Linked DNA regions of Daphnia pulex. The protein of the gene in region 3 interacts with the protein of the main gene of each other region in a pairwise test. Links are inferred from orthologs where the notes say so. Each region holds a gene or a part of one and is shown on either strand. Other genes may lie near its edges. The genes, in order: ecotropic viral integration site 5 ortholog-like, protein bicaudal D-like, ras-related protein Rab6, golgin subfamily A member 1-like, GRIP and coiled-coil domain-containing protein 1-like and TATA element modulatory factor-like.

The links.
Region 1: the proteins of ras-related protein Rab6 (region 3) and ecotropic viral integration site 5 ortholog-like interact in a two-hybrid assay, tested with the Drosophila melanogaster proteins (2 studies listed by BioGRID). The link is inferred for Daphnia pulex from reciprocal best matches to the Drosophila melanogaster genes Rab6 and Evi5.
Region 2: the proteins of ras-related protein Rab6 (region 3) and protein bicaudal D-like interact in a two-hybrid assay, tested with the Drosophila melanogaster proteins (3 studies listed by BioGRID). The link is inferred for Daphnia pulex from reciprocal best matches to the Drosophila melanogaster genes Rab6 and BicD.
Region 4: the proteins of ras-related protein Rab6 (region 3) and golgin subfamily A member 1-like interact in a two-hybrid assay, tested with the Drosophila melanogaster proteins (2 studies listed by BioGRID). The link is inferred for Daphnia pulex from reciprocal best matches to the Drosophila melanogaster genes Rab6 and Golgin97.
Region 5: the proteins of ras-related protein Rab6 (region 3) and GRIP and coiled-coil domain-containing protein 1-like interact in a two-hybrid assay, tested with the Drosophila melanogaster proteins (2 studies listed by BioGRID). The link is inferred for Daphnia pulex from reciprocal best matches to the Drosophila melanogaster genes Rab6 and GCC88.
Region 6: the proteins of ras-related protein Rab6 (region 3) and TATA element modulatory factor-like interact in a two-hybrid assay, tested with the Drosophila melanogaster proteins (2 studies listed by BioGRID). The link is inferred for Daphnia pulex from reciprocal best matches to the Drosophila melanogaster genes Rab6 and Tmf.

Annotation. Positions count from the first base shown.
Region 1 is NC_060021.1:8,635,220-8,637,877, forward strand, and holds part of ecotropic viral integration site 5 ortholog-like, read left to right. Parts: coding exon 1-214; intron 215-328; coding exon 329-499; intron 500-871; coding exon 872-997; intron 998-1,087; coding exon 1,088-1,206; intron 1,207-1,836; coding exon 1,837-1,951; intron 1,952-2,040; coding exon 2,041-2,199; intron 2,200-2,287; coding exon 2,288-2,512; intron 2,513-2,609; coding exon 2,610-2,658. UniProt on the Drosophila melanogaster protein: Functions as a GTPase-activating protein (GAP). During border cell migration in the ovary, acts as a GAP for Rab11 and is necessary for the maintenance of active receptor tyrosine kinases at the leading edge.
Region 2 is NC_060027.1:4,510,132-4,514,421, forward strand, and holds the start of protein bicaudal D-like, read left to right. Parts: upstream 1-1,490; 5' UTR 1,491-1,754; coding exon 1,755-1,955; intron 1,956-2,118; coding exon 2,119-2,313; intron 2,314-2,375; coding exon 2,376-2,546; intron 2,547-2,604; coding exon 2,605-2,842; intron 2,843-2,904; coding exon 2,905-3,275; intron 3,276-3,344; coding exon 3,345-3,551; intron 3,552-3,603; coding exon 3,604-3,817; intron 3,818-3,884; coding exon 3,885-4,184; intron 4,185-4,251; coding exon 4,252-4,290. Other genes in the region: guanine nucleotide-binding protein-like 3 homolog, read right to left, coding at 1-212, 319-334. UniProt on the Drosophila melanogaster protein: This protein is essential for differentiation. It may play a role in localizing of Nanos (a maternal determinant) activity in oocytes. Functions redundantly with BicDR.
Region 3 is NC_060023.1:1,255,386-1,259,445, forward strand, and holds the start of ras-related protein Rab6, read left to right. Parts: upstream 1-1,260; 5' UTR 1,261-1,460; coding exon 1,461-1,530; intron 1,531-1,622; coding exon 1,623-1,735; intron 1,736-1,801; coding exon 1,802-1,907; intron 1,908-1,974; coding exon 1,975-2,090; intron 2,091-2,159; coding exon 2,160-2,249; intron 2,250-2,334; coding exon 2,335-2,398; intron 2,399-2,627; coding exon of another isoform or gene 2,628-2,695; exon of another isoform or gene 2,696-3,386; intron 3,387-3,528; coding exon 3,529-3,599; 3' UTR 3,600-4,060. Other genes in the region: cullin-4A-like, read right to left, coding at 1-38, 110-263, 326-562. UniProt on the Drosophila melanogaster protein: Protein transport. Regulator of membrane traffic from the Golgi apparatus towards the endoplasmic reticulum (ER). Mediates membrane trafficking during egg chamber growth and organization, possibly upstream of exocyst component Sec5.
Region 4 is NC_060020.1:6,037,641-6,041,645, forward strand, and holds golgin subfamily A member 1-like, read left to right. Parts: upstream 1-1,272; 5' UTR 1,273-1,427; coding exon 1,428-1,821; intron 1,822-1,883; coding exon 1,884-1,972; intron 1,973-2,043; coding exon 2,044-2,301; intron 2,302-2,367; coding exon 2,368-2,997; intron 2,998-3,070; coding exon 3,071-3,229; 3' UTR 3,230-3,505; downstream 3,506-4,005. Other genes in the region: transmembrane protein 41A-A-like, read right to left, coding at 43-198, 260-367.
Region 5 is NC_060018.1:298,106-302,227, reverse strand, and holds the start of GRIP and coiled-coil domain-containing protein 1-like, read left to right. Parts: upstream 1-1,322; 5' UTR 1,323-1,375; coding exon 1,376-1,466; intron 1,467-1,573; coding exon 1,574-1,740; intron 1,741-1,803; coding exon 1,804-1,962; intron 1,963-2,037; coding exon 2,038-2,183; intron 2,184-2,259; coding exon 2,260-2,391; intron 2,392-2,457; coding exon 2,458-2,602; intron 2,603-2,664; coding exon 2,665-2,829; intron 2,830-2,885; coding exon 2,886-3,039; intron 3,040-3,106; coding exon 3,107-4,020; 3' UTR 4,021-4,122. Other genes in the region: signal peptidase complex subunit 1-like, read right to left, coding at 738-968, 1,037-1,096, 1,156-1,182.
Region 6 is NC_060017.1:4,092,872-4,096,814, forward strand, and holds the start of TATA element modulatory factor-like, read left to right. Parts: upstream 1-1,143; 5' UTR 1,144-1,276; exon of another isoform or gene 1,277-1,367; 5' UTR 1,368-1,407; coding exon 1,408-1,537; intron 1,538-1,615; coding exon 1,616-1,750; intron 1,751-1,809; coding exon 1,810-1,928; intron 1,929-2,010; coding exon 2,011-2,227; intron 2,228-2,306; coding exon 2,307-2,578; intron 2,579-2,651; coding exon 2,652-3,058; intron 3,059-3,118; coding exon 3,119-3,209; intron 3,210-3,276; coding exon 3,277-3,605; intron 3,606-3,670; coding exon 3,671-3,755; intron 3,756-3,837; coding exon 3,838-3,943. Other genes in the region: 60S ribosomal protein L18-like, read right to left, coding at 42-311, 372-578, 638-724, 861-863.

The DNA.
Region 1 (2,658 bases), on a different chromosome or scaffold from region 3:
CAACGAAGAGGATCAGTGGAGCCTTTGGGGCCGTCTGGTGGCCGACTGGGCCAATACGTACAAGAAGCGAAATGCCTACGTCAAGGACCTCGTCCGCAAAGGGATCCCGCATCATTTCAGAGGCGTCGTCTGGCCACTGCTGTGCGGCGCCAATGACTCGCCGGCCAAGTCGCAATACGCCGAGTATATCAAAGCCACATCCGCCTGTGAAAAGGTTTCCATCCTTTTTTTTCTTCTTTCTTTCATCATCTCTTCAATCCGGTGATGGATCTGTGGATGGTATGATAATAATATAACACATCCTTCCTGAACAAAAAATGTATGATAGGTCATCCGTCGCGACATAGCGCGCACGTACCCCGAACACGACTTCTTCAAAGAGAAAGATGGCCTGGGCCAGGAAAGTCTCTTCAACGTCATGAAAGCCTACTCGTTGCATGACCGTGAGGTGGGCTACTGCCAGGGATCTGCTTTCATCGTTGGCATCCTCCTCATGCAGGTACAGTACATATAGACAATCCGGTGGTAGAAAAGGAAAGAAAGAAAGAAGTAAATATTATAAAAAAAAGGGAAAAGATCATCGCCTTGGTAGTTGGTAGAGTAGTGGATAATCACCATCCATCATTCACTCACGCCCACTATGCCGTGAAGGAATGCCTTTCCATAGATCGTTTCATTCAAAAATAATGAAAGATGTAGGAACGCGCAGGCTATCAACCGTCGTAAGGGGATGGTGGTGTAGTTGGTCATGTTTCCCCCCCCCCCCCATTTTTTGGCTACTTTTTTCTTTCTTTTTCTTTTGATTATTATTTAAATTCTATTAAGATTTGATAATGCTCACGCTCTGTTGTCTCAATTTTCGAATGAATAGATGCCCGAAGAAGAAGCTTTTGCGGTCGTGGTCAAATTGATGCAGGAATATCGATTGCGGGAGATTTTCAAACCTTCCATGGCCGAGTTGGGTTTGGTTTTGTATCAACTCAAGAATCTCGTCGAGGTAACTCGCTAAAATTATCATACATTTTGAATGCTAGAAAATGATCTTGATTTCCGTGGTCTTTGTTGTGGTTTTTGGTTGTGATGGCAGGAATTGTTGCCCGATCTCCACGCCCACTTCCTGTCACAGAGTTTCGACACGAGCATGTACGCCAGCAGCTGGTTCCTCACCCTATTCAGCACCACGTTGACCCTTTCGGTGGCTTGCAGGTAATATAACAATACAAATGCACACAGAAATTACCTAGAAACCCAGTTGTTTGACGTTGTGTGCCAACTGCCGAGCTAAAATGGGGGGTTGACCGTTTCTGGAAAGTCATTTTCCAGCAGCAGCAGTCCACCCACGCCAATATGGAAATCTCCTACGCCCCCACATCCTACCCAGTCATAGTAACAATATTTCTAAAAAAGTATGCCATGGACCTTTGAAAATTCTGTCGGCTGGAATTCTCATCTTCCCTTTTGTGGGCAACCGAAATAATGAAAGTATTTAAGGGAAAACAAATGTGGGTTCTTTGCCAACTATTCCGGAATTGTTGTCGTTTGTTATTGTTTCCATTTCTTTCCTCCTTGTACGATTGCGTCGCCGGCACACAGTCACCCACCAATTCCTAATTCAGTCGAGCCGAGACTAACTTTTTCCTCCTTTTGAGTTTTTCTTTCCTTTTTCTTTCCTTTTTTATCGGCATTCCGGCCGGTCTCTGCTATTTCAGTCGGAGAACATCGTGACTAACATGTTCAAATGCATTTAAACTACCGGAGAGGAAAACATGAAAATGTCGACAATGCTCATTCATGTTTCTTTCCTTTTTCTTTTTTTTCGGTTTTTCTGTTACCAAGGGTGATGGACGCCTTTTTGATTGATGGCATGGAAATTATTTTCCGGTTGGCCGTGGCCATTCTCAACTTCGGCAAAGAAGACCTTCTCTCTCAGGATATGGAGGGGATGCTCAAGGTATTTTTCTTTCGTTTTGTTCATTTTAGTAGATAACAGGATTATAATCTTTTATTTTTCTTGTGTCATTTTGATTTGGTTTTCGGCAGTATTTTCAAAAGGAAGTGCCGGCCCGTTTTGATCCGTGCCCAGATCCTCTTTTTGTCGCCGCCTACAACGTCAAATATAGCGCCAAGCGCATGAAAAAGTGGGAAAAGGAATACACAGCTCTCAAGACGAAGGAGCAAGAGGATCAGGAAGAAGTCCGGGTATTATTATATTTTATTTGTGGATTACTTGAGATGCCGACGCGGGAATTCACGCATGTGGCTTTTCTCATTGGTTCCCATTCGACAGAGGCTGAGAGCCGAGAACCGTATGCTTCGCCAGAAAGTCTCCATGCTGGAAACGGAGTCAAGTGAGCTGGCCGAACGGCTGGTACGCGGCCAAGTCAGTCGAGCTGACCAGGAAGAAACAACTTTCCACTTGAAACGTGAACTGGAAGCGTCCAGGCAACGTGACGCTGAGAACACTGCTCACCTGCGTGAGCTCCAGCAGCGTCTCAAACACATGGAACAAGAGGTTTTCATCTCATCCATCTCACTCACTTTATTCGCCTTTCAATTAATACTCCTTTTTTTCTCTCCCCCCTTTTCTTTTTCCCTTCCGGGATCGATAGAACTATTCTAGGCAGTCGTCCCTAGAGATGGAACCTACCACATCACCAT
Region 2 (4,290 bases), on a different chromosome or scaffold from region 3:
TTGCTCTCTTTCTTTAATTTGTTTTAGTTTCTCCATATCCAAAAGAATTTCCTCCTTAAAAGGACATGAATTTGGCACCCCACGATCTGTACGAGGCTTGCGTTTCTTTTCTGGATTTCTTCTCAAATCACGATTAACCTTTCTCTTGTGTTCCTTGATCTTTTTAAGGATAGTATACTTCCTCCTGAGAGGCAATCGGTGACTTTTAGCGCCTAGAGAATTTAAAAAGGAAAATATATTTGATATTCTTAGGATTATACAAAAGAAAAAAACTCTCGAATAAGTGCGAATACATAAAGTGAATGATAAATAACATACGTAATTGTTTCTTCATTTTAAAACTGCTTGGTGACGAATGTTCAACAGCGCACGTGGCCAAGTAACACTAACAGAAAAGCTAGTGGACTAATGAGCAGACGAAAATCAATTTTTGACATACCGTTGTGAACTACCGATGCTGAAGCCTTTTCTGACCATAATTTTTCTTCCTTCATTATTTAAAATTTTAAAAAATTCTGACTAAATTTTAAGGGTTATTTGTTATTGATTATGTAATACAATTCGCACGTTAAGCAGAAATTTTTTCTTATTTGTCAATTGTCAGTTCTTAATAGGCTTGAATTTTAAAATAAGAAGCAAGCCAAGAACCTGAAAGACTAGAGAAGAAAGCAAAAGCACTTCCAATTTCTAAAGAATGACAAAACAACTGTTGAACCAAACAAATTTATTGACTCTGTAAACAATCTTTGGAAACAGTAGTTGAAACTGGTAAAGGGAATAGACTGGAAGGTGTTTTGAAATCAATGCTGATTACATCACTAGATCTCAAAAGAGATTGTTTACAGTTCCCCAAAGGAGTTTTTAGGCCAGAGACATGAAAATATTTTAAATCAGCACTGGAGCATTCATATTGACCAGTAACTGTAATATTTTCATGCATAGTGAAAACAGCTTCCACTCCTATAAATAGAATAAATAACAGTTAAAATACAATTGGGTTATGTTATATAAAGCTTTGATTACCATTGAGTTTGGTTAGTGTTCGCAGAAAGTGTTCTCTTAACCAGACTCGCGCTTCTTCATCTGATGACATTCCTACTCGTATTCAGAGCTCGTATTTGTTTTTTAAGATTACAAAACGACCGGCAATCAGGTTCTCAGGACGATCATCTGCAATTTACCAAAACACAATAAATATTGACTGATACAACTAGGCTATAGTGGATTATAAAACTAATCACCAGAGTTTTTTTATTAATGAAACAAATACTTAATTAGCTAAAAGCTCCAATGAGAAGAACAATACACCAATACCTTGTAAATTTGAAAAAGTATCAAAATATTCGCAATCAGAACAGACGAACTATTTACTCTTGGTTGCCACACCTCCTCGCTACTTTGTTGTGATTTCTCAAAACGTTTCACGACTGACACTAAAAATCATAAAATAAGTCTATTTTTAAAACAAATTTTTTTTCAAGTTAAAATAACGAGAGATTCATATTTTTAATAGATTATTATTTTTGTTAAAGTTTTTCCTGGTTACCATGCCTTTCTTTTGAGGGCATATGTGGTCAGCTGTTCAGTTCATTTTTTGCAGGGTCTGGTCTTGACAGTTTCACTCATGGCTACCGTCCTTCACCAATCCTCGTGAAACCTCTCGTTTATTTTCGCTGCACCCATCGTTTTTAACTGTTACAATTTCCCTCCTTATTAAGCACTGGTTAAGCACTCGTTTTAATTGATACCATAAAATGGAAGTGGGTAACGTAGAAATTTTAAACTTGGAAATCGAACGGTTGACGAGAGAGCTGGACCAGACGAACAGTGAAAAAATCCAGTCCGCTCAATATGGGATTGTTTTACTGGAAGAGAAAGAAAATCTTCAACACAGATGTGAAGAACTTGAAAGTCTCTTTGAGAACGCTCGACATGAGTTGGCATTAACCCGTGAGGTAACCTTCTATGCTTTTTATTTAAATGGATTGCACCATCACATACCTTGTGCTATCACCCTGTATATCTGTTTAGTTACTCTACATTGAGTTCTTATGTTTTATACATCAGATATTTTTTCTTGATATGTCTTAATAATTTGATGTAACATTATGTATACAGGCACTTGCTCGCTTCCAGAATAGTCACAAGGTTACAACCAAGAGTGGCATAGAAACCGAAGAATCTCTTTTATATGAATCAGCTGCAAGAGAAACATCTCTCAACTCTCAAATCCTTGATCTTGAAGCTGACACAAAGCATTTGCGCCTTGAACTGGAAAGGGTGACAGCTGAAAGAGACCAACTCACTCAACAAGTAAAGTAAAATAATATGCAAGTCTCACTTGTGTAATTATATTTTATTCACTTTTGAATTAGTTAAATGATACTGGGAAAGAGAGGGAAGTCTACATTTTTGAACGAAAAACTTTAAAAGCTGAATTGAAAGAACTCAAATACAGAGAGACCCGCCTTCTTAGTGATTACTCAGAGTTGGAGGAAGAAAACATCAGTCTTCAAAAGCAAGTGTCTGTGTTGAGGTCTTCTCAGGTAATGTTGAAAATGATTTTCCTTCCAGTATTCCATTTAACCAAATATTTTTGGCTAGGTTGAACTAGAGGGAGACAAACATGAACTACGTCGATTGCAAGAAGAACTCGAGCTGCTCAATCAACAAAATGCAGAGTTGGCGCATTTGCGAAAATTAGCTGAAAAACAGATGGAAGAAGCATTAGATGCCCTACAAGCTGAAAGAGAAGCCAAATATGCTATCAAGAAAGATCTTGATGCAAGAATGACTAGTGAATCCATGTTCAATTTGAGCAATTTAGCATTCAGCATTAAAGGTAATTGTGAAACCAATTTTTATTTAATTTATGTTTCTGTCATTTCCTTTTTTGTATTAAAGGACTATCTGAAGAACATGGGGCAAGTGAAGGTGAAGACGACGGTCCACTGTTGCAAAAACTTGAAGCCTCATTCCTGAAAACTGGTGGTGTAACCAATGACGGGACAGAAGGGGGCGATGGGAACAACAAGGGTGGTGGAGATTTGTTTAGTGAAATTCACTTGAACGAAGTCAAGAAACTAGAAAGACAGCTAGAACAAGTCGAAGCGGAAAAAGGGATGTTGTTTCAACGTCTACGAGATGCCCAAGATTCCTCCGATGTTGCCCGACACGAAGCAGCATCCAGACATGTTCAACTGGCCAAACTGGATGCGTATTTGGCTAGCCTACTTCACCTTCACGAAACTGTGGAAACTCCTACTAATGCTTCGGTAAAGCTATTTTCTATTTTTTCTGATTTTTTTTTAAGGTTTCAAATGATTATTTTTTGTTTTTCGTAGGAAATTGATCGGACACCATCAGAGCCGTCTTCTGCTCCTGGCAAGTCTACGTATCTTCAGCAATTGGTTGATAAATTCAAGCATCGTACCGCGCTGGCTGTTAGGGAACTTCAGCAAGCTCAACAAGAATTATGGGCTCTCCGAGGAGCATCTACCGGTCAACTACCAACTGATATGGAACAAGATTTCATCGCGTTGAAGAAGAGGGTAATTTTTGTAATACCTTTTTAATTAGACATTTACTCACCTTTTCGTGTAGTTGTTAGATACAGAGCAAAAAGTGTCAGTTCTTCACTCTGAAATTGCGGCCTCCTCCGAGTCGGCTGGTGATAGTCGAGCTACATTGGTAGCACTTCAGTCTGAACTATCTCCTCTTGTAGATGACATCACTGCCCTTACGCTACATCTGTGTGCTGCCGTAGGCATTCAGGCAGGATCAGGGTCCCATGCAGGAATTATCCGGAGCTCAACTGGTAAGTAGAACTTAGTTAAAATGAATTTGCTTTTGAATATTGACTTAAGATTCAACAACTACAATAGATGCTGGCAGTGGACCTAGTAGCTTAGCTTCGGATGTCGCTGGACCAACCTCTATCGGTTCCGAATACAATAAGGAGAACATCTCACCAGAATCCAGTGTTACAGTCACTTCTCTTCAAAATCCTACTCGACTCTTGCACATGCTTCAAGAGCAAGTTCGTCTGTTGCGCCGAGCTGCTGAAATGCTGGTCAAACAAAGCCACACCAAAGACACACCCAACGACTTGGTATCAGACAAGGATCGAGACAACTTCGAGTCAGATGTCGCTGAACTCCAAGAACAAATTGTTAAGCTCAAAGGTATATTATTGTCAAAAAGTATTATTAGGATTATCAAGTGTAACGGGAAACTTTGTTTTTGCTTCAGCTTTGCTCTCAACCAAAAGAGAGCAAATTGCCACTCTAC
Region 3 (4,060 bases):
AGCCAAAAACTGTGCTAGGTTTGATTGAACGTGCGATTCTGTAATAGATTTTAGAAAAAACAAATTATTAAGATACTATTACTTTCGAAAATGCCATTTCGCAACAAACCTGTCAAGTTTTTTAACTTGCTGTACACAAGGGGGGCAAAACTATGGCTGCAAAGGTTTTGCACAGCCTGATACAAGTCCTCTAGGGCTGATTTAATTGAGGTTGAATTCTGTATAGCAACAACAGCTTCTTCCAGCTTCTGCCAAGCAACATCCTGCAAAAAAAAGTTCAACAGTCAGATGTATCGAGAATTTAATTTCAAATTGAATAAATAACCTGGTAATTCTCAGGCAATTTGGGGAGTTCTTTCATAGACTTGATGACAATTTTCTTGACATTTCCAGCAGCTGGTTTGACTACTGTTGGAGATGATTTCGTCAACCCATTCGTGCTGACCAAGGCAGAGAAGTTGGCCCTCTTTGCCTCCTCCATGGTAGGCTTTTTTGCCTCCACCTGATTTTCGTCACTATGCTTTCGCTTGACTCCAATCAATTTCCCGGTCGGCTGACTCATATAGAACCGATTTCCGGCAACTCTCTCGAGCTGTAAGCCAAAATCTAGAAGTCTTGAATGTTACGAGAAAAATCACATGCTCGACATCATCCGACACAACGAAACCGACACGTTTTTGTTACTTATACAAAGTGACCGTTACGTGCAACAACAGCTTTATTCTCACAAGGTTAACTCCACGTCAAAAAGTTGAGAAATGACACAATTAAACTATTGATGTTAATTTAGTCAGTACTTTCAGGAAATTCTGTTAGTGAAAGAATCCTTACTGCAATAGCAGCAGATGAGCAGAAGGAACGACTGAACGGAAAACAGTTTTTAGCACGGCACTCAATGCTTTACAGCGCCCTCTTCGAGTTCGACAAAAAAAGAAGTTTAATAATTATTTTTGCATACGGTGCATACAACACTAACCCATGTAACGTTTAATTTTCATATTAATCAAGTTTATGTAATTTTCGTGGCCATGAAATTTTACGTCACAAAACCGTTTTGGGGTTGTTTTTCGAATTTAATCGATTTCAGCATTTGCATTCATTTCTTATTGAATTAAATGAATAATTTTCAAAAAATAAATTACTTAATTTACTAGCTATTATGTTTAAATTTTACGCCGTAAAATATATTCACAATGAGCAAACAAAGGTGTAAAAAGTTGTGAATTACAGAATGGCAACGCACGTTTTGGTCCCTGCAGAGCAGTAGCACGGCAAACTAAAGAGACCAATTGATACGTGGACAGTGAGCGAACTGTCATATTGGGGTGTGTTGGCTTATTACTGATTCGGCAAATAATATTTGGCCATCTCAAGAATTTATTTGTTTACTCGATCTCTGAAATTAGAGGCCGAATTGGTTGGCCATCTAAATAAGGGAAATTTGCGTTTATCTTTTCAAGATGACGACTTCCAATGAGTTCTCCAATCCGCTTCGGAAATTCAAGCTGGTGTTTCTCGGCGAACAGTCTGGTCATTAACCTTTTACTGCTTTTATAGAATATTCTTAATGCCGGATTTCTGTTATTTAGAATCTTCTGTTAAATTTTATTTTATTTTTACAGTTGGAAAGACATCACTGATTACGAGGTTCATGTACGACAGTTTTGACAATACTTATCAAGCCACTATTGGAATAGATTTCTTGTCTAAAACAATGTACTTAGAAGACAGAACTGTAAGTAAAAATTTCATCATGCATAACTATTTTGCAATCCCAATGACTAATGCTGTCCAAATTCAGGTTAGGTTGCAGCTGTGGGATACCGCAGGACAGGAGAGATTTCGCAGCCTTATACCTTCATACATCCGTGACTCTACAGTAGCTGTGGTGGTTTACGACATAACAAGTAAGAAATCAAACCACAGTTTTTGAATTACCATCAAATTACAATAATTTTTTGTTATCCTGTTTAGATGCAAATTCCTTCCATCAGACATCCAAGTGGATTGATGATGTGAGAACAGAAAGAGGGAGTGATGTGATAATTATGTTGGTTGGAAACAAAACAGATCTCTCAGACAAGCGGCAGGTCAGTCATCACTAGTGCAAGTAGCATTTTAAACTTCCTACGTCATAGTGGAAATGATTACTTTTCCAGGTTTCTACCGAGGAAGGAGAACGAAAGGCGAGGGAGCTTAACGTTATGTTTATTGAAACAAGCGCTAAAGCTGGCTACAACGTTAAACAGGTTTGTAGGACAAATTCCATTTTTTTGTCACGATCCACGAAACTTGTTTCGCACAATTTTGTTTCATTCTTCCTTCTTCCCGCAGCTTTTCCGACGCGTAGCCGCCGCACTTCCCGGTATGGAAGCTGATAAGAAACCTCCAGAAGACAGTAAGAACTTTTTTTTCTATAGCCGAGCATTACTAGTATTTCTCTTCTATAAGACCCCTCTCCTTTCGGTGTCCATAGTTCCTGTTTATTTTATCTCCTAAACTTGTTTTGCATGTCGCTTTGATTCATTTGGTGTTTCAGGATGCTTTTTCTTTCTACGACTTTTTTTAAGTTGAATATGTTTTTTTTTGTTGTTGTTTTCCTTAATTCGTTTTTTGTGTCCTCTTAGTCACGGAGATCGATTTGAATAACGCACCGGTGGAGCTGAAACCTGCAGAGGGCGGCTGTGCATGTTAAACAAACAATAAGAAATCCTCCTTTCCTCCCTCCTAAAATCATTACTTTTCTTCGTCGTTACACGACTTTATTCAAACATTAAGAGCAATAGTTTTGCCTGCTTTCTCGTCTTATATGAGCAAGAGATAGCGATACAACAAAACATATTTATCGTCAATTTTCATCCATACCGTTTAGTGTTTTTGCTAAAAATATAAGGGACGGTTTGAGAACATTAAATTGGCGGAATGAAATTTCAGAATAATTTTTCTGGTTGGTAACGAACGAAAAACAAAAGAAAAGTAAAACAAATGGTAGCTTTACATCTCGAGTGCTTATATCGTTATACAGCCCCTATCATCATCAGAAGCACTCTTAAATTTTGAATCCTTCGTTTATTTCATTACTTTGGTCTTCACTAGTTTTTATCCAATAATTGGGTCTTCCGAAATGTTTTTCAAGTTATTTAATTCATTAATATCAAATAATGCTAATTAAAAAGAGATTCTTTGTTTTTCCAAACCCGCTGGAATGCGTTTTTTCTCTTACACCCTCTATACTTATATTTCTTTCTTTCAAACAAATGAATGGCATGTTTGATTCTGTTTACGTCACGTTTCAACGTGGCACTCACCTGAACTTTTGTCCTGATAATGTTGTGTGTGGATCATCAAATCATCTTAATACACCGCTTGCTTTTCTTTCCTCCCAATTAGACAACAATTTTGCTTTTCTCAGTATTTTTCGTTTAGTGGTATCTTTTGTGGTGTGCGTTCTTTAATTTATATCTTTAATTGTTCTGTGGTCCAATGAAATCAAACTTACAAAATCATTCAATTACCCCCTCCAATTAGCTGTCGACCTCCGCCCATCAACCAACGCGAATCACCTGGCTACAGACCAAGAAGGTGGATGTTCCTGCTAATGATTAAAATCAAAGGAAAGAAAAAGAGCAACCAAACTTAAAAGGAAAACAAATGAATACCATCCAAGAAAGGGCTCAATCGACCGTCATTGTACAGTCCAAAATCTCTCGAAAATGTCATCAGTTTTTAACTTTTTTCTTCACACAAATGATTGGCTCGCAGTTTAACTTTTTCCATGTTCCTTCTCCTAATGGAATGTCGTGACTTGGGATTTTTTTTTTTAATTTTTAAATTAGCTTTACCTATTAAGGTTTCCGGTGTACCGTTCAGACTCGACGGTTATGCAAAAACTGCACGTATTATCGTCCAATATTATTTTCAACACAAATTAGAAAACGCTATCATTTTACAATTTGTTACTTTCTAGTTCGTAATCATTAAGTAAAAGAAAAAAAATTCACGTTTTGTCACATTTTCTCTAAGTTCATGACGTCCTCCCCCCCCTTCCAGCCAATTGCGC
Region 4 (4,005 bases), on a different chromosome or scaffold from region 3:
ATTTAAAGGTTACAACAAGAGTAATATTAATAGTATGCTTACCAAAAAAACTGAACCTGGTATTGCAAATGTTTGCTTGTACAAATAAGCACTACAGAACAGAATGTAAACATAGAGAGGATGAAACTTTTGAAATTCAAGCAATGTTCCTGTTAAAGACTTTAATTCTTCAAGGTTGCTTGGAAACTTGATCATGTCCTGGAAAAGGGTTTTCATACTGTAAAATATTTTAATTTCATTATGTTGAAAATTATCTAACCTTAAAGTTTTGAATGGCAACAGAATCAGGTACAAAAAAAGTTGTCATAAGAAGTAACCAACTAGTGGCTGCAAGCCAAATCACTGGTAAATATAACAAACTACCCATTACACTAATAAAAGTTACTAAATACTAACACAAAAATCTTGTTTTTTCCTTCAGTAGGCTACTGTCTTCAACGAGCTGTCCCGCACTGTCCCGAGGCCGAAGCTTTCGATCAATTACTTCCTTGTTCCTTCTGCTTGAATGAAAACAATGCGATGTCAGTGACATCTATGATAGTATGATCTAAGCGAGAACACTTCCGCATATTTTCAATAGTTTTTTTTTTTTTTTTTTTTTTTTTTTAACGGCGATAGATCCGGATCGGTCACGATAGGAATAAGGAAAGAAATTTAGAGCGGGCAAGATGGACTCCTACCTCCATCAGATGGAGGTAGGATAGTACTCGGGTGCAGTGCGATTTCTAAAACAAACACGAACAAAAACGAAATTAAGATGATGATGATGACTCTCATACTAATAACTTTGAATTGCTAGTATAGAGAAATTCTGAGCGAGATAGGATTTCGTTCCGTCTGTTGGTCACGAATTTTTTAGTAATTCAAATCTGATCTTTTGCTGTGCGTGTGAGTTTATTTCCTGAATTCCCTCCTCAAGTACCGACGACTACCTAATACTTACCCATTTTAAATGTTTTGACATCTAAATTTATGGTGGAGGGGTCACTTAGAAGAAAAAAGAACGCAGACATACGGATGAAGTTCATTTTACGCTTTGGCCATTTGAACCGCACTCGAATTTTTGCACAGATCTTTTTACAATCTTTTTACTCTGAGAGGACAGCGCCATGTTAGTTTCGTCTGCGATCTAGAATCCTAATGAGAAAATTTTGTTGGAAAAAGAGTTTTGTCTATAACGTCTTGAACAAATTTCACGAATGCAAGGAATACGTGCTGTTGTATATTGTTAGTGCATAGGATAATAGTGACGTTCATGCGTTTATGTCCTACACTCCTACTGTTGTTTTTCACTACGTGGCGTATTATTGCAGTTAAAATAGGCGGGGCTTTTTATGTTTTATGGTTGCTGTTTAATCATTTGATTTTGTTGTCTGCTATTTATTAGTACAAAAAGTAAAACATCACGAAAACCGTTAAGTGCCAAGATGTTTGCGAAATTAAAGAAAAAAGTTGAAGATCTTGAAGGATCTGATTTACATAAATTAGCAAATTCTATAAGTTTCTCAAATATCAGTGGAGCTCCTGAAAAATCTCCTTCGTCTAATTCAATTAAGTCTCACGATAACTTTGCTTCAACATCCCAGTCTCAAAAGGGATCAACTACGAGCTTATCCTCAATGGCAGGAACTTCGAAAAATGATGAAGCTGATGCCAATATGGCAGCAGAAAAGAAATGGAGGCAAAGATTAGTTGAAATAGAGAATGAGTGGAGAGTGAAGGTTATGGTGCAAGAACATGAGAAGGAGCAGGTTGCTAAAGATCGTGACATGCTTGGACAGCAGAAAAGAAAAATGGAAGAAGAAATTAAGGAACTAAAAAGTATGTAGATGGTCTGTCACATTTAAAAAAACTTTTACATTCATACTTTTTTTCATCTTCAGGTTATCAAGATAAATATCTGAAAGCAGAGGAAAACCTTAAATCGTTGCAGGAATCAAATAAACGAGAGTCAGCTTCCCTTCAGCTTTTGGTACATGGTCCTTCATACATATTATTAACAGTTAACGGTTTCAAGTTAACATTTTAATTTTAACATTTCAGTTGTCAAATGCAAGTGTTGAAGTTGAAGACATGAAAACCAAAGATGATTTACTTCAAAAAGAACTGAATAAAAAAGATGAAATGGTGAAAATGCTTCAGGTTCAACTACGACTCAATGAGGAAATGCACCACAACACCCAAAGCTCAGATTCAGAGGTAAACAGTCAAGAACCCAATATCGATCGAATAGAACGAGAAAATCTCCTTCAGAAACAAACAGAAACGGAAGAAAGGTTGAAGGCACTTGAAGAAACTTTGGTAAGATTGAATTGAGTTTTCCCTAGACTTTGCAAGTGCATTTGTCAATTTGAATTTCATGTCCAGGTTGCAAAAGATGGCGAGCTTCAGCGGTTACAAAGGCATTTCGATCAAGGGAAATCAACTCTTGAAACCATGACGCAAAATTGGCAGGATGAAAAAACGCATAATTTAAGTTTGAAAGATAAAATAGCTCAGCTCTCGGAAGAAAAAGATCATTTCGTTGTGCGGAATGCAGAACTATCTCAGCAAGTGTCACTGAGTCAACAGCAATTGCAGCGGACTGAGAAGGAATTGCGAGAGCTTCAGGATAAATTTAGCGACACGGAAAGGGAGAACCAACAAATTAAACTCCTTTTGTCAGACGCCGAAGCCCGGGACGAGAACTCTGAGAGAACGTGCAAATTGCGATCCCAAATTGTCGAATTGGAAGCCGCATTTTCAGAGAAGAACAAAACGATTAAATTACAGCAACAGCGATTGAGCGACATGAAAAAGACTCTGCAGAAAGAACTGAAGAATCAAAATAATGATCCCGACAGTCTTTCGGTGCCGACATCCGCGTCTTCCTCTACCGCTCCTAAAAGTCCCGTTCTACCCAAAGCCCCTCAACCTGCCAAGAATGAAATGGATGAAGTAAACTTTAAATATTTAAAGCACGTCATATTCAAATTTTTAACGAGTCGGGAATACGAGGTAACAATTGCTTTATCGTCTTTAATTAAATTGATTTTTTAATTAATTTTATTTATTGTGCGGCTGGGTGTAGGCTCAGCATTTAACGCGGGCCGTTTCAACGTTGCTCAAGTTGACGCCAGATGAAGAGAAACTGCTGAAAGAAACGCTGGAGTGGAAAATGTCTTGGTTTCGATCACGGCCGGACTTGGGAACCGGCCAAGGCGCTATGTACATTCCACCAACGCACTGAAGCAGAAGCACACCATCTCAGATTGCTTCTTGTTGTTTGATTTTCTTTTTCCTCCAACTATTTTAAGTTCGAGCCGCAGTTTAACAGCTGATTTGCTCCAAAGAATCTTAACATTGTACAGAATTCCTTTTCGACTTGATGTCGTTCGAACGCTCTACACGTTGCCTCCTTTGGGCCTGTCTGGATACTGCAGCTATAGTGAAATCATGTAATAATGGCTTTTTTTTTTATTTAAAAAAAAATAATAATAATATTCCATTTCAATGTTTAATCATAGCCACGTGTTGTTTTCCCATAAATCTCCTCTATGCCTTAATTAATGGAACCTTTCAAACTGAAGTAATCAGTCCTCGCTTTTGATATTATTAGTAGGGGCGACGTAATTAGCTTTGGAATCGATTGTCAGGAGGAAAATGTAAATCCCGACGGGTTCATAAATCTTCTCGGTTTCTGTTTGGGTGGACGGGAGCTGCAATGTTTGCGACTTTAGGCGTTGATTGGTGTGTACTTAGAGAGCGAGCGAGCGATCCAAGATGGGTAATGGACTAGAAATAAAAAAAGGGAAAAACTAATATCGAAAAAAAAGGTATCCCGGCAATAGAAGGGAAATGTCTCGCGGGAAATATTTGGAAGGAAGAAGATGATTATATTATATGATGCGCATATTTATCCATCAAGTAATACAGTCGCAATATTACGCAATACCGTCGGTGAAAAATTTGCGCCTTTAACCGAAATCATTCAGAAACGTCATAGTGTTTTGCGCACAATGCGTA
Region 5 (4,122 bases), on a different chromosome or scaffold from region 3:
ATGCGGTAGAAATAAGAGTAGAACTACTACGTATATTTTTATGAATGCTGCGTTTCATACTTAAGAATTTATGAATCGTTAGTATATCAAAGAAGGAAACATCGAAAGGGATAAATATTGGATCATTTTCCTGTTTGTTCCAAACCTGTTTTTAAACAAGGCTTAGTTTGTTAGAAGACAACATTATTTTTTTTCTTCTTTTGACTTAACTTGTCCGCTAGTTATTATAAAGATAGCGACTTTAAGCCAACTTGAATTGCCTGATCGTCATCGTTTTTTGCACAATTGCACGGAGACTGAATTCATTATTATTTTATATCAAAGTTAAATTACTGCTTCCTAACCTTTTTTTTTAAATGGTAAAACTACTTTTATATTTGCAGATGCAGAGACAATCATCAATGATCACAGGAAAGGGGGGGAGACAGGTAGCCTACTTTTTCAGTGGTGTTATCACTTCTACAGTCTGTGGAGAGGGGACTTCATTATTAGTATGCATAAGCGCCGATGAAAGCAGAATTTCTATAGTAGTTAAATGGAATTTCATCTTGAATGTAAATTTAAAAAAATGGATAGCTTTAAAGTTCAACTTATTTTTAAATTTTCTGATTTTAACAGGAAAACGCAAAACTGCAGTTTTTTAGTCATTAAAGGAGCCTATTTACAGGAATAAAGGTCAGTCTAGAATATTAGATGTTTAATAAATTTTTATTTTTCAATGAAAAATCACACAGTGTTTACTTATTCTTTTTCTTTTGCTTGGATGCAGTAGTAACAACTTCTTTTTGTTCTGTTTTGGTGGTATCTACAGTAACCTCCTTACGAGGCTTCCTCCAGTTTAGACTCTTTCTGCGATACATGGGCCAGGGAGGTAGTGTGACAATCGCAGCAATTAGTACTCCAACTCCAAGGACCAAAATTGTCTGAGAAAATTGTTGGTTGATGTATCCTATAACCCAGCCAATAACCTAACAGCAGATTTTGAAATTGAAATTGTTATTCTGACAACCATAATCATAAAAATTCAAAACTTTACCCCAAAAACCACAACAATGATGTGCGATAACTTTTCGGCGAAATGCTGTCCTTCATAGTCCTAAGTAAAAAGTTTTTCGTTAAACAATTTATGAGGATTTTTCAAGTATAAATGCTAACCATGTGAGTATCAAAATTGAATGCCATTATGAAGCAAATTAACAGTTTTCAAGCAGTGGCTTTTTGACAGGTACACAACTACGAGAGGTGACGTGTAGCTAGCAGCCGCTGTGTATACACAGTTACAATACATTCCGCTAGGCGAAGTCAGCTGCTGCTTATGTGGTTAAACGAAAAAAACAATGTAGGTAAATAGAAGAAATTAAATAAATTAGCAGAAATGGATAGATTAACAAAAAAAGAGAAGGAATATAAAGAAGTAATTGAACAGCAAAAGGAACAGCTTGGTCGTTATGAGAAGAAATTGAGGGGTAGGTTTAATTTTATTTAAATATTTTGAAGTGTTTTAAGTTTGAATTCTACCATCACATTGTTTTTTAATATAATTTTAATTTCATTATTTTTGTGTGTTTCTTAGATGTTGTTCAAGCCTACAAAGGCATTCAAAAAGAAAAGGAAGCCTTGGAAGCAAGTTTAAAGGCTTTGGCTGAGGCCAAAAATTCAGCAGATGATGGAAATTCTGCAGAAAATATTTCTGGAATTGATTCATCTACATCTCTTGAAGGCATTAAGAATGACACAGAGGTATTATATAATTCATGAAATTTTTTTTTCTGAATCCTAATGGTTATAATTTACTAAATTAAGGATGGAGCTTCTGCAAATAAGGAAAGAGATACTCTTAGACTACTGAAAACCCAGTTGACTACTTTATCTGAGTCATTGGCAACCATAACTGCTGAAAAATCAAGAAGTGAAGCTAATTTCCAACAAGATCGCAAAAGACTTTTACTAGAAAAAGAGAGTGTAAGTTTACTAGTTGGTTGAATTTCATTAAATTATAAGAAAATCATGTGTAGGTTATTTTTTTCCTTTTTATAGTTGGAGAAAGCATTAGCAGGTGCCTGTAATCAGGCAGACATTGCCTCACAGTCATTTAAGCAGCAACTGTCTGAGCTTAAATCTAATCTTAGCACTGAAAAGGCTGAAAGAAGCAGAGAGTCAACAAATAATCAAGTGATTCTGAGGTGTGTGAATCAAGTGATTCTGTAACAAATCTCTCATCCAGTTTCATTTTTTTAAATAATATTTCATTTTCTGCAGAGAACTGCAGAAAACTATTGCAGAAGAGAGGCAAAAAAGAGAAAACCTTGAATCAGAACTCAATAGTAAATCTAGATTGTCACACCAAGCTAGCAACCAGTCTTCAAACCAACTGGAAGTTGCTGAAAGAAAGTAATGCCCTAATAAACTGTTGTTATGAAATATGTCATTTTAAATATTTATTTTTAAATGTTTTAGGTTTCGGGATCTCAGTAATGAACTTGAATCAACTAAAATGAAACTGTTTGCTGCCGAGCAAAAACTCCAACAGCCATCTCATTTGATGCAACTTCAGAACGAAATGGCTGATTTAAAGATACACCACCGATTGGCTATCCAGCAGGTAAAAATTTCGTCCAAACTGAAAGGTGATTATGATGTTTAACTTTACCTTATGAAATACAGGAACAGCGAAATGCGCTCGAGGCTAAGGAAGATGCGCGAAAGCTAGCCGAAGCTCATGAAAAGAGAGTTGCCAGTTTAGAAGCTCGCTTGGCGGAATTTTCCGAGCGGATCGGTTCCTATGACCGTTTACGACAACAAGACCTGTCCACTGTCTCGAAACTTAGGGTACGTATCACTATAATTATTATTTCGATGAGTATTTAAACTTTTTTGGTTATCAGGAGCAATTGAACACCATGCAAAGTGCACCAAGCCAAGCTTCCAATCACAACGAAGAAGAATATGACGTTCCAAAAATTATCGATAAAATAACTTCATTGAAAAATAGGTTAATGGAAGTCAACCGTCGGTCGAATGCAAACATTAATCTCGCTGGTAATTTGTTTAGTGGTGTTTCCTGATTTTTAAAAATTAGTAATTTTTCTTTTATTTCAATTTATAGCGATTTTTGAATTAGACAATGCCAGTTCAGACTCTGATCATCACGAAGCCTGTCAGTTGGAATTGCAGCAACTGAAACATGAACTTGAATGGTACAAACGCGATGAAAAACCAGTCGACGTAAAAGCAGTTGCCGTAGCAGCTCACACTGAAGAAGAAGTCAATCAAATGCGTGTTCAAATCCAGTTCCTCCGCAGTGAAATGGAACACGGTGAAGAGGAGCATAAGGATTCGATGCGATCGATCCAAGAATCTTGGGCCAAAGAGCGTAGCGAGTGGAAGGATGAAATGGGCCAAATGGAACGCACGTGTCGTGTTCGTGTTGCCGATATGGAGCAACAGCTTCAAAAGCAAAGGGAGCGATCCCTGACGCTGTTGCAGGAAAAGGACGAAGAACTCGCCAGCCTCCGCGAATCGTTAAACTTGAAAAGCGGATCGGCTTTGTCTCCTGTCACTTCTAGTACTAAAACCAGCGACTCGAATGACGAGTGGCCTGAATCCTTGGCCCCTCTTGCCTCGATGACGTTAGGAGCTTCTGCCAGTGGTGGGCAAATTTTGCATTACGTGGAAGAACTAGCCCGGAAGGAGGGGGAGATTCTTGGTCTGCGTCGTTCCAAGAATCAGCTGGAAGCCTCTCTCCGTGAAATGCAAATGGCCTTTGTTACCATGGAGCATAAAGTTGCCGAGCAGAAACAGCATCTGCACGAAGAACTGGCTCGTTTGGAGCGCAATCAATCGCGTGAAGGCGCTAATTTGGAATACCTGAAAAACGTCCTTTTGGAGTTTTTTCTCCACTCTGATCCGTCCTCTCAGTCTCACATGTTCAACGCCATCGCCGCCTGCCTCCATTTTTCACCGAAAGAGATCCAGCGAGTGCGATCCCAGCATCCCAAATGGAAACTGAATTTGGTTTGATCCAGTCCTGCTGCATTTTATCCGCCAGCTATTCCTAGTAAGTTGGAAATCGCCTCTGCGGCAAATTTTCACTCTTTCCATTTCCAAGTGCCCTTGTATTAC
Region 6 (3,943 bases), on a different chromosome or scaffold from region 3:
TCTTTTGATAACCAATACAAAAACTTCTCGAAAGAAGAAATTTACTTTTTGTAACCACAAGATGACCTACGACCACGAGCACGTTCAAATTTCCGTCCCTTAGAGCGAACCAATGGTTTAGTGTGTGATCCAGGAACACCAGGAGCAGGTCCGAAGTGTTTGTTAGCTTCCCTAGCTTTGCGCCGCCCTTGGATAAGAATAGTATTTTTGCCTGTTGGTGCACGCAGGGCCAACTGATCGAAAGTCAAAACATGACCACCAGCTTTCAAGATGCGAGCTCGAGCTCTCTCTGTTGCACGCAGAGCACACACCTGAAGAAGGAATGTACCATAAGACACGATATTGCAAAATGAATTTTTTAAAAAAGTTACCGTGAGCTTGGGGATTTTGAAGATCCTAGGATCATCTGTCAAAGTTCCGACGACAACAGCAATCTTTCCTTCTCTTCCGGCTTTCTTCATATGTCTTGACAAGCGAGACACCGACAGTGGTGGACGGTTGATCCTCGACATAAACAATCGCTTCAAAATGATGCGATTGAACTTGGCCTTGGTACGACGAGCCAAAAACCTGTACAACTGTAAACGAAACGATTTTACAAAATAGTCCAATGACACAAAATTTCAATGATTCTTACCTTCACCAAAAGTCGAAGATAGACATCTTCAGACCTCGGTTCACGTCGGACGACTTTACGGTCGTACTTATGGTTGATGTCAATACCCTGAAAAAAGAGGTATTACAATACATCGATTAGTAAAAACATCCAACAATCACTCCAAATCAGCACGTTACTAAAAAGTATTTGAGAAATACAGGATGTAAAAGATAATTTTAGATGAAAACGAGCTAGTCTTTACCATTGTTTCTCTACCACTTGGGGACTGACCAAAGGCAAAGCGAAAAGACTCTGATGGGACTTCTCGGTCTTAGAAATGGATAACTTCAACATTGCCATATCGTTCCTGTAGAGCGTACTTTCACACGTTGCCTTCAGAGTTCAGACTAGATTTTAAATTGCTTTTAAAACCAGTTATAAGATGACATAGTATCTGTATTAATTCTTTAGAAAATTAGAGTCATATAGATGACGATGCTAATTATTTTTTGGAAAATTTTACTCGATCGAAAGTAGGGTAGATAAATGCTTTGAGCAACCATGTTATGCAATACAAAAAGCAATAGCTTTCTGACATTTGTCTGCTAGAAATTACAACTTTTGATTGTTTTGTTTTTTTGGATTTGTGTTAATGACGGCCCAATTATAGTTTATGAGGCAAGTATTTAAAAAATAGGGCTTTCTGTATTAGATTCTTATGAGAGATATTACTTTTGGAATTTTCGGATATTTGCTTGTCGTTTAAAAGCTGAAAGCTATTGCTGACGTGGCTACCGTCTACATCGAAAATGAGCTGGCTCAATACCAGTAGCATTGCAAATTTGGCTAAAAATGCACTAAAAGAAGCCCAAAAAACCATAGACAAAGCACTTGACATTAGAGATCCAGATGCTGTTGGAAATAAACCAATTGAAAATGGTATATGTATCTCAGTTGCCTACTATGATAGATGAATGTATTTAATAACAAGTTCTGTTGCATGATTTGTCATTCAAGAAATTATTGGACACTTCTTTGAATCCTTCAATTTGGTGAAAGAGGAAAATGATCCACCTGATGAAACCAGAACAAGCTCAGAAGATGTCGTAGTGAGTGAACCAGACTCAAAGTCTGAAAGAGATCAGCAAAAAAGTACTAAACATGTGTGTGTCAAGTCATTCGATTGATAATAAAGTAATTTTGTTTAATAGCAGCAGTTTTTCAGGCCCCAGTTTCAAATGTACTTCAAACAACAGCTAAAGATTTAAGCACCCATACTGAAACATCCATTCCTGCAGGAGACCTTGAAAAAAAAAGCAATCCCAATGAGGTAAGGAAAATAAATAGATGATAAAGTTGTTCAGGAATAAGAAGTATTTGATTGTATTTTGTTATATTTTCATGTCATTTAGCTGGATCATGTGGTTCTGACTGATTCTATAGAAGAAACGAATGTAAATGAAAGTTACCATAGCTCTATGTCAGTTTCCAGCTCCATTACCGTCATCAGTCCTGAAAATGATTTGGCTGATATGGATTGGAAAAGTGATACCAAAAGTGATGCCAGAGAAGAAACAACCAACCACCATCGCACACAAAACAGAGATGAAGTTTCAACAATGCTGTCGGGTACGCTGGCGTCTTTTCTAAACTTCTTAGATCTGATTAAAGTAAGAAAGTTGAAATAATAATAAAACAACATCTTCAGAAGCGATGAAGGATTCGATCAAGACTGAGACCTCGGCGTCTGCCTCAGGTGACGAGATCGAGACCACCACTTCGTCGGATATCGAAATCATCGCAAGTCCTCAAGCGGGTATAAGACAACTCGTAGCTCCCGTCCGTTCAAGAAGCGAGTCAAAGACTCATAGTCGGAAGCCATCCGAAGCTTCTAGTGACGATAGCGCAACTTCCACTGGACAAGATTCGGACCCGCTCAAAACAGAATGCCAAATCATTCAACTGAATCAAATACTTGAAGTATTTCAATGTTATATACATTTCTATTTTTGTCAGTCTTTTTTATGATCCCCTTGATTTTTTTAACCAAAAGGCCCGAGATAACCAATTATTGGAATATACCAGGAAATGTTACGCATTATCGGAAGAAGTAGAACGTGCTAAATCACAGTTGGCCCATGACGAAAAGGAGCGAACGGCTTTGGGTGAAACCATTCGTCGGCAATCGGACGAGTTTGCCATAAGGTTATCTTCGATTGAAAAACGCTATCAGCAGGTATTGGCTGAGCGTGAATCACTAGTCAAGAAACTTGAACAGATTCAACAGAACCAAGAATCTTACGGCAGTTTAACAGAGGAACTTCGAGAAAAAAACGAAACTATTGAACAACTAAGATTTGAAGGCGAAAAGCTATCCAAGCAACATCTTCAATTATCAAACATAATAAAGAAATTGCGAGTGCAAGAAAAAGAGGAGGAAGTCCGTTGCAAACAATTCAAGTAAATATTTAAACAAATTGCGTGTAAAAATACAAGTTCATTTTTTCCCCCGTCATTTAGAGATCAAAATGAAGAACTAAAAAGTGAAGTAGATCGTTTGAACAAGTGTTTGTCCGCGAAAGAAGAACTCGAGAGGAACCAAATCGAAGCTGTAAGCTGAAGTGCATAAATTTTAGAGAATGAAATGTTGTGGCACTAAACACGTTTCAATTATGCAGGTTCGACAATCTGCGATGGTTAATAGCCAATTAGAAAAGGAGCTTTTGGCCAATAAAGTCATGATGCGTGAAAAGCTTGCGGAAGTGGAAACTCTTCGAGCTGCGTTCACTGAGGTAGAACAAAAACTTCTCGAAGAAAGAGCCACTGCTGCCATTCGCGATTCTGCGGAAACTGAGCGCAATCTCAGCGCTGAAGTATCTTTGCGTCAACGCCTTCAGTTAGAGTATGAAACATCCAGCCGTTTGTTTGAGGAAGAAAGACAAGCGCTCACAATGCGTTGCCAAGAACTGACCCAGTCACTTGCCGAAGTCGACAGTGATCGCTCAAGGTAATGTACATAACTCATTTAATTTTGATTTCAATGCGTCATCATTTGTAAATTTGATTTTTCAGAGAACGAGAACGGATACAAAGCGAAGTTTCGCGATTAATGCATAGGCTGCATGAAGCCGAATCTCGTAGCGATGAACTATCTCAGGTACAATTTTTATTACAGCTCGATATTGATTAAGAATGATGACATTTAATTTTGTTAACTTTGTTTTATTTTCTGTGATAAGGCATTAACCACTGCGACCAAGCCTTTGATACGTCAGATTGATACGCTGCAGCATGCACTAACCTCACAAAGGTTGTCCGAAGAAAGATCTGAAAAGATGTACAACG